Linked DNA regions of Mytilus edulis. The protein of the gene in region 2 purifies or fractionates together with the protein of the main gene of each other region. This does not show direct contact. Links are inferred from orthologs where the notes say so. Each region holds a gene or a part of one and is shown on either strand. Other genes may lie near its edges.

The links. The genes of interacting proteins can lie anywhere in the genome.
Region 1: the proteins of mini-chromosome maintenance complex-binding protein-like (region 2) and DNA helicase MCM8-like purify together in Homo sapiens (co-immunoprecipitation; 3 studies listed by BioGRID and IntAct, with this or other methods). This does not show direct contact. The link is inferred for Mytilus edulis from reciprocal best matches to the Homo sapiens genes MCMBP and MCM8.

The regions. Positions count from the first base shown.
Region 1 is NC_092350.1:18,911,082-18,919,566, reverse strand, and holds the start of DNA helicase MCM8-like, read right to left. Parts: upstream 4,167-8,485; 5' UTR 4,060-4,166; intron 885-4,059; 5' UTR 867-884; coding exon 734-866; intron 1-733. Other genes in the region: uncharacterized protein, read left to right, coding at 6,256-6,382, 7,109-7,183, 8,063-8,485. UniProt on the Homo sapiens protein: Component of the MCM8-MCM9 complex, a complex involved in the repair of double-stranded DNA breaks (DBSs) and DNA interstrand cross-links (ICLs) by homologous recombination (HR).
Region 2 is NC_092347.1:70,576,373-70,585,324, reverse strand, and holds the start of mini-chromosome maintenance complex-binding protein-like, read left to right. Parts: upstream 1-5,357; 5' UTR 5,358-5,448; coding exon 5,449-5,509; intron 5,510-8,694; coding exon 8,695-8,768; intron 8,769-8,952. UniProt on the Homo sapiens protein: Associated component of the MCM complex that acts as a regulator of DNA replication.

The DNA of each region.
Region 1 (8,485 bases), on a different chromosome or scaffold from region 2:
TTTGATTGCAACATTTAATCAGCCTGCTTCTAATTTAAATATTCAGTCCAACTACAATATTTTGAACACTGTAAACAACAAAATACAAATTGTGAGTTTGCCTTTGTCATTTTTAGTGTGGTATTTGGTAAGAAAGTTCTTGTTAAACAAGTTAGGATGAAAAGAAAACTTTGGCCTTCAACAAAAACTGGTTCATTGGAATTGTTATATATGATGCACATAAAAGGGAGGTTAAGTACAAGTATTATTTCTTGAGGAACCAAAAACAATTGATAATCTCAGGCTTGCACGTTTCAAACTTTTCATCTTTTTCTTGATAGATTGCTTATTATATTTCAAGTCAATATGTTAAATATATCAAAATTTGTGACCAGGCATAAGCACTGTTGTGTTAATTGTTCCCATGTTCCCAAAGGGTTATAAACATAAACGCAATAACTTTTCAATACACATTTAGTCCCACCAATACAAGTTAAAGATATTTCAAATTCAATTTTCTTTGCTGTTTTGAGAGTTGCATGCAAAAAACACCATTCTTCAATCCCTCAAATCCCTCTTTTCCATTAGCATGATTAGGCCATACAACTTATATTTTTTGCTGGATAGTAAGCATTCAACTATATAATTCATATGATTAGTATTAGTACAAATGTATATTTTAGCATAAGTCGATACTAATAATAAATTTGATATTCACCATATAATTATGCAATTTAATGTTAAATAAATTTACGTGAATTGCCTCTCCCTCTGTTTCCATGGTGACTGTAGTAACGACCTCCACCACGACCTCTCCACCAGCCTCGACCTCTCCATCCTCTCCCTCCCTGCCAGCTACCAGCACTGGAGGTACTTGTTTGGCTCATCCTGATTGTACTTTATACCTTACAAAATAGTTAATTTAATAAAGACACATTATTCTTTCTTGTACATGTACATCATTGTACATTTATACATTCAGAAATAATAATTCAAATGACAAACACACATATAATAGGATTCTGACCCCATCAATCTTTTTTTTGAAAATATTTATATTGACAGTTATATATATTTTTCCAAGAATTATAAAGTTAGCTAGTTTACCCACTGGCTACATCTTTCTGTTTTAAAATGCCAAAAAATAAATAGACAACCATTGCATCTCTTTGGATTTTTATGTAGTATACATGACCATTATAGCTTTTCATCTTTAATATACTTTTGCAGATGAATAAAGTTATAAAGAGTAGTATATGTCTCGAGACAGCATTTTTTTTTCTGGAGACAGCATCCCCATAAAACACAAAAAAGACATTTAAAGGTTATCTATTATTTAAGGGTATCTATGAAGTGTGACAAGGATTCATTTGTCTTCACATAACCTTTGTATTGAAACTGGTCGTTATGTTGGTACTAATCATTTGCTAATAGAAATAAAACAAATTGTATTTTTTGTGATTTAGGAGTAATAGAGGATGAATTTCATTTCATCCTTCAATGTAGTAGATATACTGATTTGCGAAAAAAATATGTAAAAAAATATTACTGGTCTAGGCCATCAACTTTTAAATTAATAGAATTATTGTCAGGTGAAAACACAAAACAGCTTTGTAATTTAGGAAAGTATATACATTTCTCTTTTAAATTAAGAAACAGTTTATTGTAATAAAAGATATTTTGTATTGATGAAACTTCTGACGTCACCTATTGTTTATTATGCATATTGTTTATATTGTTTGTAATATGCCATATGTATAAACTGTACATGTACCCGGTACTTGATTATACTGATGAGCTGTAAGGCTCAAAGTTAATAAAGAATTTGAATTTAAGTATGAAGTATGGAACAATCACTGACCTAGATCATTATTAATGCATGACCTATGACAATGCAAATTATGACTAATTAGTGCATGTTGTCAGATGGCTTGGACTATTCTGTCATAATTATTTAAGTGCTGACAGACTTCACCTCACAGTAGGAAAGGTCACTTAAATTACAATTCAATTCTTAGCAGATAGTAAATCAATTTTACAAAAAAAGAAATGGAAACATAAGAAAAACACTATTTGAAAAGAGATGCATTTGTGTGATTTTTCATTTTAATCATTAAGTCCAAAAATGCTTAATAATGAAATAAAGAAGACTATACCTACTAAAGGAGCTATCATAATGGACAATTTCTGATCAGGTAATTTTTTTTATAAATTGTATTTAATAATAAACAAGTTCTTTTCTTCTCTATGTTCAATACACACTTTAATGAATCCTTAGAGTACATACCCTCTAACTTTTGAAAATCTTAAAAAGGTTTTTAGTGTGTAAACTTCTTTTTAAGAGTAACTGCTTACTTACTTGCATGCATATTTTTATTTTATAAATTCATTATCATATCTCTTCTTTGTTTCTTATGTTATACTGACATACCTGTCAACTTGTGACGATGAAAATGCAGGTCATGACCTGCATTGAAGAATCAAATCTCAGGTCATAACGCGTACAAACTTTTTCGAGCTGAATTTCAGTATTTATTGTACATTTTTCTTATAATTTAAATCAAAGTTACCAAAACATCAATGCATGTTCACTTGGTTAAGTAATTTTAAATCTTATTAATTATTGTTTCATTGCACTTTTTAAAGATTTTTATAAATTTGTGTAACACAGTCTTATGTTCTTTACTCATAGTGGTGATGTAATTCAACCTCACACACCAAATACTAGGATATATTTTCCATAAGTAATTCTATGTTTGAAACCAGCTATCAGCCATAAAACAAATCATTAAATTTTCAATTGAAATTAGACTTATAATAAAATATAGTAATATAGTTAAAAGAAGTATAGATGAACAAAATAATTTTCAACTTTTTTTTTTAAATTGTATAAAGATATAAAAATAATGAAAAGTTATATTGCAATATGTATTTGAATTTTATTTTTTTAAGATTTAATCTTTTTCACCCCAAAAACGTAAATATGAGGAATAATTTTGAATGGTGACAAAAAAGGGGAAGTAAATCTAGTTGAAATATGTTTGTAAAACAACTGTGCAATTTATTTACGACCTAAAGCTAAGGTAATTGGTATTAATTAACAGTGTGTTTGACACCAACGCTGTCAAGTGAAGCCATGCACTTAATGGGCAACTTAATTTGACAGTTTACACAGCTAACTTCCTGTTCATGGAAGAATTACGAATTTGCCGGTATTTCAAAGGAATATATTACTTAGAAGATCAATCTCAAGGCTACGAAATACGGGTGAAAACGGGTCATTTTTGGAATTCTCGGGTTATTCAATGACCTGGCAGGTGTCCTGGGTGATCCCTCAGAATTGTGAAAATCTCGGGTCACACCCGCAGAATACGGGTCAGTTGACAGGTATGTACTGATGAAGAGCCATTTATTTATTTCTTCATCATTCTTTTGTTTTCATGATTCTTGGAATAATTAACAATTGACCTGCTAGGAATGATTATGACAACAGATTTAATTGTGTCATACATCATTTTGTAGTTTATTCAATGCATAAGAATTTCAGGGGGGATAGGCACCATTGGAAAATGAAATTGCAACAGTGCAATTTCTCAAAAATTTGAATTGGTACCATGTATTATATGAAGGTACAAATATATCAGCTTCAAATTTCACTTGTTAATCAGAAGATGAAAGTGATGTCACAGGAATGGCAGATTTCTATTAGTTAATCAATGTTTACCAGTGTAGTTGTTTATTTCATTCGACGTCGTAGGAAGGCGTCCCGGACATCATAATTATTTGGACTAGTAATATTAACCAAGCTCTGTGGACGGTAAATTTATAAAATATAATTAATATCCTAAGATCAATTAGACCAAGGATTTGTACTATACAAATCCTTGATCAGACACATATAAGTATTATATGTTTCTCTGGATGGACTTCATTCGCAGCTATAGAAAAGAAAGACCTGTGGTTATATTTCTCTAAACAAATACAAATTTCTAATTCGTGTAAAAATTTCAAGGAAAACATATTTTAGATCATAAATATTGTCTGCCCTTGAAGCATTATACCATGAAACTATCGATATACCATATTACGCTATTTCAAACAGGTTGCAAGGTATTATTCAACTGTTGAGTTCTACTTTCACTTTTGATTATATTTCCCGCGTAATTTGGCCTTTAAAATAAATCCGGGTCATATCGGAAAAAGACTTGTGACAATTACGGATTTGTATGTTAGCGAAATGAGGGCCGGTTTGATGGTGTTTAAAGTAAAGAGGGTTTTTAAAGAATAGGAGTAAATGGCAAAAATATGAAAAAGAGTAAAATTTGGCTGAAAAATAAATAAATAATCTATAATGGGGCGCAAAGTATATATATAAAAGACATCTGTCGACGGGATAAAAAAAAAAAGACAATATATACGGCAAATCCTGTTAGATAATACAAGTTTGAATATGAATAAATTACAGAAAGAAAAAAAAACAGATGATAAAGAAGTTATCTAATTCAAGGATATCTCACTATACATATCCTGGTTTAATTACAGAAAAAAAATACTATAAAACGCATTCTCATTAGAATTTTACAAAATTAGCATTATTTCTAAAGATAACGAAATTTGCCCAAATAAAGTTAAATAAGTTAGACACCACAAGATATCCAGACCATCGTCTATATCCCCAGTGGGAAGAAATGCGAGTGAACTAAATATGCCGGAATATTAATCATCCTTTTATAATTTTAAATGTTCCATTATAATATTTCGATTACCATGTAAAATGTAAAAGGCATTTGGTTTTTAAAATCAGATCAATTTGTGTAAAAGACAAATGATATCAAAGTGTGGTCTCTGGAACACTGATCAGATTTGATAACTTTTTTTGTTAAAGCAGCTAGCCGGTCAAAAGTGTGACTTGGCTTTCTTTTCGGTGCCATTGGGGGGAATAAACTTCTGAAAGTGACTGGCAAAAAAAGAAGCTTCTCTATAGTCTAGAAGTGAGTGTCTTCTTTTCATTTTCATTTTTCAACTAAAAAAATGTTGCCAGTCAGAACTGTGGTGGTTGATAATAACCCATAGGCTAGCTCTCATCAATATTTGTATATTCGGAACCACCAAATATATAAAAAAAGTTGTAATTGGGTTGTAAAAGATACATACAAAGATCTCATGCTTATTCTTATCAGAGACATATGATACAAATGAGTTCTGTTGATATTAATGAAGGCGTCAATTTATTTGATTTCATCTGGTTTACATACGCGGTCTATCATTTAATGGGGGTGTTTTCTTCGACACCTCTTTAGTGTGTACTTGTATGATACCGTTTTAAAAGTTTTTGAATGGTTGATGTATTATATCCCGTTTTCAACCATAGATTTCCACTGCTCGTATTAATACAGTATTAAATTGTTTACGTATAGTATAAATTAACAAATGGTTAACATGCTTGGACATTTCTAGAAGTATATATTTAGTAAAGCTTTACGAGCAAACGAGTGGAGATAGATCTGAACTTCAAATCTCAGATTAATATCTTCCATACTAGCTAAAAGCCGATTATACAAATTTCTAAATAGCCTTAATGTAAGAATAAAACCAGTAGTACATGTGTAAACCAATAACACTTCAATAACATTGTAAATATAATTAAATCGTGACACCCAGAGAACTATGAAGCTTGTACTATTGCAATATGATCATAATATACATGTATTCCTTATCTTTCATGAATATTTAATACGGTTCCATCAGTGACTGAGAGATTCATTAATTTTTCAGTGGGATCCAATAAAAGCCACAACAACCATAACTCTCAATAGTATTGTTACTAAATACAATAAAACTGATGATTATTATAATGACACACTAACTCGTCACTGAACTGGACAGAATAGGAAAACCTTTCAAAGTAAGCATAACTTTAATAGTAAATTTTGTATATTAACTTTTCTTTTTAACTTTTTCTTTTATCTATTTTTTAACTTTTTCTTTTATCTATAATTATGCATCGTTTCAACTACTCTTTGAAAACCGGGAGAGCAAAGTTCCTCCTTTTGTGCCGCGGCATATTATCCAAACCAAGTCCACTAAATAATAACTTACATGATTGAGAAATATGCAGCATATTTAGTTAAAAATTCAGCGCTTATTTTTCCCAGTCACAAAATAAAATAAAGGAACCTAGTCGTTTTAATGACGTTTGTATGTATATTTTAGATTTTTAAAAAGACACCAGACAATTTGTTTCATGAATTCTTGTTAGTTCCGTAAAGAAGAAACATGCCAGCCTTTTATGTTCCAGCCAGTGAAACACCAAAGAAACAACACAAACTCCAACAACAGTACAGCCTTGATGAACGAAAGCTCATGTCCGACATTTTATATGATGATCTGAACAGTAAACGATGTAGGTATGCTTTAATAGAACAATATTTACTGGAAATGACATTGATATATATATTCCATGTTTGCTTTTTAAGGGATAAATATTCGTCATTAATTCTTGAAAACTAGAATCTCACAAATATCTTAACGTGATCAATGGTTGTCTAGATATTTGCATTGTCTCTGCCGGGCAACTTATGACTTCTTTGCTCGATATAGTTTATTGTTTTATAATACTCTGCATCTGTGTTATTCATGTTATCACCATTTAACCAAAGAATACAATTAAAACCGATGACAATGTCTTCTCATGTGGAACTTTTTTCCCGTATTTAATGCCTCACTGTAATGTAATGAAAGTGGAAGAACTGTAGTACACATACAGTTGTTTTGTTTTGTCAATAACTTATAGGGATGTTGTCATCAGGACCATTCCAGAGCATCTGAGTTTATCGAGTTTCTTTGTGGGATTCGTGTTTTGCTTATTTCTTCAGTTTTCTGCACATCTGTTATTTGTGGATACATTTTTTTCCATTCCGTTTGTTCCTATTGAGCACGGAATTGTCTGTTATCTTTAACTTGTGTTTTTATTGCACCTTTGGAACCTTTTGAATTTATTTGTGATCGTTTGTGTGTTTTGTTTGTTTGTGTTAGATATATATTTCAGCATTTATTTCTCAATTCCAGTGTGCTATTGCTATATGTACATATTTCTACTTTGATGACAAACTTCCTTTCTTCTATCCAGCTACAGTGAAGTTTGACAGAGATGAAAGGCGTATAATAGCAGAAATCGCTCGACAGAAAGATTTGGAATCCAAAGGTATTGTTTTTGTTTTGATTATAGGCAAAAATAAACATTTCAATGTTGCAATCAAGGAAAGGAGCTCTTTCATAGATAAAACCAACAAATAAACACAATAAACTATTATATCAAATAATTCAATCATGAATATACCCGTAAAAAACTTCGCGACCTTCTTTACGAGTGAGGACTTAGGTATATTAAGTTAGAAATCTTCAAAAACAATACACAAGTGAACAGTACATAAAACATATTAATGACATGCACTATATCTATGAAGCATACTTGTCAGTACTTATTTCTTATTCCCGTTGGAAGTGGCACCTCTTGCTTACAACATTTTTAAAAGTAAACCATTATAGGTCAAAGTACGGTCTTTAACACCGGAGCCGTGGCTCACACCAAACTGCAAGCTATGAAGGGTTCCAAAAATGACATGTGTAAAACCATTTCAACGGGGAATACCAATGTTCTAATATATATTAAAGACGAGAAACGAGAAATAACATAAACGGTACCAATTTTCCTGCACCAGTACAGATGCGCATTTCGACAATAAATGTCTCTTCAGTGATGCTGATGGCCAAAATATTTGAAATCCAAAGCCTATATAAAAGATGAAGAGCTATAATCCAAAAGGTCCAAAAAGTATAATCAAATCCATGAAAGGAATCAGAGCTTTGCGTGAGGGAGATACCAGAAACACTTACTATGAACCACATCAACAAACGACAACTACTGAACATCAGATTCATGACTTAGGACAGGTGCAAACAAATGCAGCGGGTTTAAAATGTTACTTTGAGAACCCCAAGAAGTTAAGTTTTAACTAATGGAGAAAACCTCTTTAAACGAAAATTATTAATATACTTATTTACTTCATTTTAATAATTTCAGTTGAACAGTGTAAACAATTTGAAGAAAAACGTCATCAAAATCTGGCAAAGCGAGACGAAATAGAGGCGGAGAAGAAAGCTCGTGCTCAAGAGAAATTAAGACGGACACAGTCAACAACCAAACCTGATCTTGTATCGGACACAGTGAAAAAATATGAAACAAAACGTTCTGAAGTGCTAGATAGAATTCAAAAAAAGGAACAGGAGAGAAAAATGAAATTAGATAACGCAATGAATAGGGAAAAACCTAACTCTTCTACCTCTGTTACCAAAAAATATGACGAGAAGAGGGCAGAAGTTCTGGAACGGATTCAAAAGAAACAAGAAGAAACCAAACTAAAATACGAACAAAAAATAAACAAAGTGGTTCCAGATAAATCTGCCATGATTCCGGACATAGCAAAAACTTATGACAATCGAAGGG
Region 2 (8,952 bases):
GGCATACATATACCTATAGATCCTCCTGTTCTTGTACAAATATTATATATAATTGACAACAAATTTGAGGAAAAATTGTTGTCTTATGTGCTAATTGACGTTTATCCATAACTTATTTCTTGCATAAATATATTCTTTTAAATTGAAAATAGTCATTCTTCAAGTCTGATTTTACACTTTTCAATAATCAACAAACAAGCAAAAGATACTCACCCACTACAATATCAACTGTAAATATATACATGTAGCTAACAACTAGTAATAGCTAATATGTGCTTCAGTAGTACAATTTTAAACTAAAACGTCATAACAGCTACTCCTATAAAGAGCATATCATATTTACTTGGTTAGAAGAATCAAGAAAGCCGGTATTTCACAACGATTTCACCATCGAACTAGTGCTGACAGGACATTTTCCTAAACCAAAAGTCGTAGTCCAAACAAAACATTCGGGTCTCACTAATTAGTGACAAAAAGCGTCAAGAAGCGACAAGAAGCGTCAAGAAGAATAATTTTAGCGACAAGAAGCTATTTAGCTACAAGAAAACATTTTTTTTATTAAATATAAAGAAAATATGCATTTAGTCTTTTTTGATATACGGGCAGAAATAAATTGATTTTTTTTATTATTATATTGATAGATGAAGAAATTAAATATTTGTAAGAGCAAAGGAAATGCACACGCTATAAAATGAAAATATTTATAAACAAAGATTTTTCACTTTCCTTTGAAGGATTTATTGAAACAAAAACATGAAATATTGTTTCCTTTCTAACTGTTCAATTCATTTTTCCTGATAGGACCAACGTTAGCTAGTGTGGCTTCACCCTAAGGTAATACACAATGTAGAACATCAAATGAGATTAACGAGGCGCGACGCGTGTCCCTTGTTTTATTGCCAGTGGCATAACTTGCCTTCTGTTTATACCGAGGCAGTGGGTCAGGGGGGCACAGCATCCCTGAAGCTATAAAGGCTTTTACAATTTGAACAAGAAAAAATCGTTAAAAATAGTTGCTGTTCAATGTTATTTTATCATAATAATGGTAATTATATGCTTTACTATATCTATACTCAAAGCTATAAAAATAACAAAATACGTGAAGGTATCACATTTAATAGACAACCAATGAAAAGTCAGTTTCCTGACTTGCTAACAGTTGCAGAAAGCAAGAACATATATATATTGATATACTGTTCCCAGCAGAAAGCCATCTCAAATGTTTAATGGCTCCCAATATATTTCCAAGCCATAGGTAACACTCTAATATAGTTGGCTGTACCTCACACGTCATATCACAATAAATCATGACCTTGCTTGGTGGATAAAACAAAATGTTCATTACAGAAGAAAAAAACGCAAATATTAAGGTTTATTTGTAATAAGTTTTGTGATTATCATTTATTTGGTTGTAGGTCACGAATCAACGAATTATAGATAATCACCACAAAATGACAGCTGGATTCAATTCAATTCTTTATTAACCAAATGTTTTACAACATATAGGTACATGCATAATCAATATATACTAAATATATATTACAATTTTTTATTTAAATATACGATCATGACAAAACAGACAGAAGTTTTAAATACACAAAATATAAATACATATAAATGTAATTCCAAATAGCAAATATTTGTAACAAATGAATTACAAAACATTTTACTAAAAACAGTCATTTCTGAGCTTCAGTGCTCTAAATATATATTTTCCCAAGTTGCACAAGTCTTTTACATTAGTAGTGCTTGATAATTGTAACAGTTTATAAACAGATGGCTTACGCCAATAATATGGTTTAATCAAACATTCACGCAGATTAGAATATAATGGACATGATAAAATAAAATGCATTTCATCCTCAATATCATCAATACACAATGTACAGGTTCTAAGGTTTCTATTAACATTGGAATACCTTCCCTTCTCTATAGCTAGATTATGTGATGACAAAATTAATCTAAATTTAACAATACACTTTTTATAAATATCGGGTATGGGTTTACACAAATATGACTGCAAAGAAAAATTGGATATCATATATCTATACAAAAAACATTATCTTTATAATAATACATGTGCACAAAATTAGGAACATTGTCAAAACAGTAATTGGTTGCCTTCAAATAAATTTTAATGATCTTGTGTGCTAGAAAATTTATTGGCTGATCTTGGTTATTCTTAGTTTGATATGCACAAAGCTTTCTAGACTCTTGGCATTATACTGCTCAATTCATAGCGTAAAGAATCAATGTATAAACACTAGACTATGGTTAAAGACTGTGTTGACAACTATGTATCTTACTGAGTTTTTGTGTTGTCAGGTTTCTGTATTATTGACTTTTATCTCACAAGTCACATCTACTTTTAATCATCAAAATATTCATATAAAAATTCATGCTGTTTAAATTTATATTGTAAAATAAAAACATACCAGTTTGTGATGTCAATTCTGTCTTTAGTGACCATTTCGACATTAATGATGAACTAGCTGATAACATAGACTTGTTGTCTCCCATTAGGAGTTTGTTTCTGTCAGTTGACGACATTTTCTATTTCTGAAACAGAAAATTTACAAATAATATTCTATTAATATTTGTTTTGTTTTTTAATATAACTGTTACCCGAGAAACATGTATTGCCTGGTTTACAGTTATAGCAAAAAAAACTACTGCTCCTGTCGTGAAAGACATGTCATGGTTTTCATATTGATGTTGTATCATAAATAAATAAATGGAGAATGTGTCAATGGGACATAGATTTACCCTCGCTGATGAATAATGATAAGGAGATTTTGAAGAATAAACAGTAAAATATATATTAACCAATTTAACACTAGCCTAAATTAATGGTAGCAGAAATTGACCTATTAATGCGTAATGCTTATAGGCATACATATACCTATAGATCCTCCTGTTCTTGTACAAATATTATATATAATTGACAACAAATTTGAGGAAAAATTGTTGTCTTATGTGCTAATTGACGTTTATCCATAACTTATTTCTTGCATAAATATATTCTTTTAAATTGAAAATAGTCATTCTTCAAGTCTGATTTTACACTTTTCAATAATCAACAAACAAGCAAAAGATACTCACCCACTACAATATCAACTGTAAATATATAGCTAACAACTAGTAATAGCTAATATGTGCTTCAGTAGTACAATTTTAAACTAAAACGTCATAACAGCTACTCCTATAAAGAGCATATCATATTTACTTGGTTAGAAGAATCAAGAAAGCCGGTATTTCACAACGATTTCACCATCGAACTAGTGCTGACAGGACATTTCAAAAAACATTTTGATGAACTTTCTAAAGTAGCATCAAACTCTTGTTTGACAATACCACAAAGTCTCTGTTTAATAACAATAATATGATCTTTACATAAAGAATTTTGTGAATACCACAAATCATTTAAACTAAGATGGAACAATTCCTTTCGTATATTACAAACCCAGTTATTTTTGTCATTTGGATTCTTTAAACACATATCATATAAATAATTGTAACAACCATGTAATATACAATTGTTATTATTCAATACTTTTATCCAATATTTAAATATATTGATTGAACAAACGAATTTCAGGATAAACTAGGAGAAAAACATATGCTACATGTAAAGTGTAACACGGCACTTGTTTTAGTGGTGTATTCCTTCGAAGGTCTTGAAATTACTTATTGAATGATTTTTAACTTTTTTTTTCATTCACCATGAACATGACAACCGGCGAATAACTAACATTTACTTTATTCTGAAGTCTTCATTATAAATGAACAGTATTTGGTTGATTTTTTTTTATATATAAACTGACATTATGTATTAACTAACAAACATATTTCTCTGGAATTAGTGATTCCTTTAAATATTTTAAATTCCCTGCTTGTGAAAACGTACTATGAATTTAAAATAGCGAGAATAAAACTTGAGAAACACAACATATAAATTATTTTGTTGTGCACTATAATATATAAATGCATATTTTGTTGGCACTGGCTACGGTTACATGGAAATGTAACAATAATAAAAATATTATTGTTACATTGGAGCCTCGGACTTAATGCCGGAATGCATGGTTGGGTAAGGACCTGTTTAATTACGAATTTAACAATAATTATTGAGGCTACGGTTAATACATTGCGTTATTGTTACATGAAAAAAGCAATGTACGTTACAGTTAGCAAACTTTGCTTTTGATTATCAATTTGCGTCAAGTTATAAAGCTGTATGAAATGTCTGTCTTGATATTGTTTCAGTTTGGTTTAAAACGCATCCCAAGTTTTATTTTTTTCACCATAAACAAAATTGGCCCAAAGTATAATGACAGTAATAAGAGGTGTGCAGTTAAATACTTTAAAAAAGTGAAACCATTGAACTATATTTTTCGCCTTTGACAGTTACACTCCTAATCTTGAGTAGTATCTTTAAGAACATCAAAACCATAAATACGTAGTAAAACTATTCAAGTTGTACACCATTTGTTGAATAATAATATTTGATTATTTATTAGTATTAAATTACAAGACTAGTATTGTTTAGTACATATGAAAGAATGAAGCAATACAACTATAGAAGATTTAAGTTTAATCAATCTAGCGTACATTGCTGTTTTTCATGTAACAATAATGTAATTTAACCGTAGCCTCAGTAATTATTGTTACATTTGTAATTAATCGGTTCCTCGCCCAACTTTGCATTCCGGCAATTAGTCTCCAATGTAACAATAACATTTTTATTATTGTTACATTTCCATGTAACCGTAGCCAGTGCCTATTTTGTTTTGTTTAGTACCAAAGTCAATGAACATAGTCGTAGGGGAACATGTCAACGGTTATAAATGAGGCTTTCAATGCTTTAGAATGGGATTATCAAATATATCATGTAAATAAATGTTTCAATTTTTTTCTATCAAATATGTTAGCTTTCTTGTTGCTAAAATTGTTTTCTTTTGCATATTCTTTTTTAATATTTATTTGGAATAAGTAATTTTGATTAAAAAAGATATTTTTTCGCTTACTAGTTTCTTATCGGTTCTTGTCGCTAAAATAATTCTCTTTGTCGCTTCTTGTCGCTAGAATTCTGATTGTCGCTGATTAGTGAGACCGAAACATTCGGGTCACTGCGCATCTCGCATATGTTGGATGGAACCAGCCGAGAAGTTCCGAGTGAAGAAAACAAATCATTATTTATATTTTGATTCTCGAATATATCATGTTTTAGAATACAATCGTATACTTGTAACAAGTTTATGATTTAAAAAAAAAAGTTAAATATTGAAAATAAAAAAGAACGATCAATTTATGATATCATTGTTGTCAAAGAATTTCGTTGATTACGGGTTTGCTGTTTATGTTCTAGAATGTCCTTTTAATTTCCCGCCATTTCTCATCACATTGTTCCTGTCCCTCAGTATTTTGTTGATTGCTACTATAGAAAAAATGCCTGGTATTGGTGATGATTGGATAAATAACCCTTTGGCTATAATTCAAAACATTATTGGTAAATCAATTATTCGCTGATATTGACAACGTATTTTTTTTTATATAAATTATACCTGATGAGTTTTGATTCATATAATTTACAGCAAGGACGTATAACTAATATATACGTCCTTGTTTACAGGTATACATGTGCTTTATTTGTATTAACTGGACACATAACTCCTAAAGGCTCACTTTATAATTAAAAGCTTCTTTTGTTGGAAATGTTGTAATGATGTGCAGTTGTCTTGTATGTGCTCCTTATAGGGTAATATACTGTCTTCGCATTTATAAAGAGGGTAGGAAATAATGCCCTTAATTTATCATCAAGCTGCAAACTGTTATTTTCAGCTACCGTTACTGTCAAATTGGTTAAAAATGTCATGTGATTTGTTGAAATATCCTAATTGTGATAAGTCAGAGGTCTCAAATAATTATCTTTACTGTTATTATTTAGAAAATTAAATGTAATTCGTCAAAATCCGTCAATTTTTTTTATCACTTGGCGTCTGTCGTCATTAACTTTTACTAAAATCTTTTCCTCTAAAACTACAAATTTAACCAAACTTTGCCACAATCATCCTTGGGATATATAGTTTAACAAATGTGTGTGGTGACCTGGCCAACCAACCAAGATAGCCGCCATGGCTAAAAATAAAACATAGGGGGTAAAATATAGATTTGGCTTATAACTCTGAAACCAAAGCATTTAGAGCAAATCTGACATGGATCAAATTGTTTATAAAGTCCAGATCTATCTGCTCTGAAATTTTAAGACGAATCAGACAACTGGTTGTTGGGTTGCTGCCACTGAATTGGCAATTTTAAGGAAATTTTGCTGTTTTTGGTTATCTTGAATATTATTACAGATAGAGATAAACTGTAAACAGCAATAATGTTCAGCAAAGTAAGATCTACAAATAAGTCAGCTTGACCAAAATGGTCAGTTGACCCCTTGAAGAGTTATTGCCCTTTACAGTCAATTTTCATAAATTTTGTAAATTTTTGTAAATTTTAACAAAATAATTTCCTCTGTAACTAATCATGCTAATGGGTCATGTTCATTATAGATAGAGATAATTGTAAGTAGCAAGAATGTTCAGTAAAGTAAGATCTACAAACACATCACCATTACCAAAACACAATTTTGTCATTAATCCATCTGTGTCTTTAGTTTAATTAATATGCACATAGACCAAGGTGAGCAACACAGGCTCTTAAGAGCCTCTAGTTTAATGTTTAAAAGAGAGAGTACATTTTACCATTATGCATAAAAATTTCTGGTAACATCATCGGCAAGGGAAAAAAATATAAATTAAAAAAAAATAAAAATTTAAGATTTTTTTCTGCAAATACATGTATATAGAAGTCAGACAATAATAAAGAATTTTACAAACTTGGTCTTGTGGTTGAACATGATGACTGGGTGTATTTGTGTCTGCCTAACACAATTAAGATGTGTCAATAAGACATTTCTCTATAGATCTATGTCACATGTTTAAAATACAAGTTAACAATTATTGGTCAAAGTTCAGCCTTCAACACAGAGCTTGGGTTCACAAACTTATAGGTCAAAATAAAGCCTTCAATACAGAGATCATACCATGCATGTGTATATATGTACAGAAAGTTTTGTGGTTTTTTTTCTCAACATAGAAAATATTTTGGATGTAGACTTCTTTATGTTAGTACAAATGTAGTAAAAAAATCAATTGAGTTGGGTTGTTTGATCATAAAGTACATCACATCTTTCCTTTCATTTATTGAAAACATTCCTGAATCATAATAGTATATGTCTAAAATTAAAGGGTTAAAACAACATAATTATATACATGATATATCTTTTATTTACTTCTACAATGTATTAACATGTACATGTAACAATTTTAGTGTTTCCTGCAGCTTTTAAAAAGGGCAGGGTAATTGTTAGCTCAGAGGGCACATTGAGCGCGATGGACAACAATTTTAGGGCACTTACTTAACATAAACAGGCAATTTCTATAAAATGGATTCATTTAAAACATACTTGTTTAATACTATAAAAAGGACATATACATCTGTAATCAATCATTAAAACAAATTGTTAAACAAGAAAAAGTGTGTAAAACATATATATATGAAATATTTAAAACAATAAACACAATTAAAAACAAAATCAGTTCTTTAAAAACAAGAAAGCACTATGTCATATACATGTATATAAAAATATTGCTTTGGTCATATCAATTGTCATTGACAAATCCTCCTTGTTTTCCCTAAAAACAGGTTGACACATTCCCTGATATCCAGGGTCATTTTTAGTAACCAAAATTTATTAAATTACAAAAAAAAAATAACTTTACAAATTAACCCCTTCCCCTCTACACCCTTTTCCAAATTAAATTAATATAGATACAACAAGTTTTACTACTTTCATGGCACTACCATATATCAGCTGTTTATTTTAAATGTCTATAAATAGCCAGACATAGTTGTCTGTTACTTAGGTGTTTTCCCAAGTATTTTTCCCGCCTAAAATGATCATGTGACATGTTTGTAAACCAAAAGAAAACATTTGATCAAGGAATTCATTTATTTTCTGGATTATTCTGCTTTTAATAATTTAGTTCGGATTTTTATTCATTTCATTTAAGGTACAGTCAAGCATTTGTATTTAAAAAATAGTTTGCAAAGAATTTTTACTTTTCAATTTGACAAATGTCTCATGATCGCCGTTCATTGGCTTGTTCAACCATGCAAACAATGTAAATTATGTAAATTAGAAATCTATCAGCTGTAAAAAAAAATTATCTAAGCATCACATCGATGTTTTTTCATTAATCTTCTAGGCAAAACGATGTTTCTGGGACTTGGCGGATACAATCAGGACCCGTGATTAGTATCTGTATTCACTATTCAATCTATTGCAGTTTGCTAATCAGCTGATTATGAAATCGATTACAAAATGGCGACCTAGTGAACTTTTGTTTTGAAGGGAAATAACTCGAGCGGTATTCATAATATATGTCTTTCAGTACCGGTTGTTAATTACGACGATAAAGGCATGGCGTCAGGAATTTCGACAAAATTAGGGCAGGGCGCCAATTTTTTTTCCCAAAAAGGGCAGGGCGTCGAGAAATCGCGGCAGGGCGCCATTACACGCCAAAACCACCTGTAGGAAACACTAAATTTATCCTATGAAGACTGGATTTTGTATACTTTCAGAAAACAAACAAAATGATAATGGTGTTAAAGAATACTTCAGCAGTAAGATGCAAACCAACTATGCCCTGAGTTGGGTAAGTAAATGAGGGGTTTAGTCTTTTTCCCTAAGTTGGGATAAGTTAAAAGTTTCTTATGTCGTTCGTTGGAGGTAAGTTAATGTGTTTAAATCTATTGACCTGATTGGGGTACATGCAAGTTTGATGTAAAATATTTTTGCCTGTGGCACATTAGTTTAAGGAGGTCAATCGTTTGACTTCA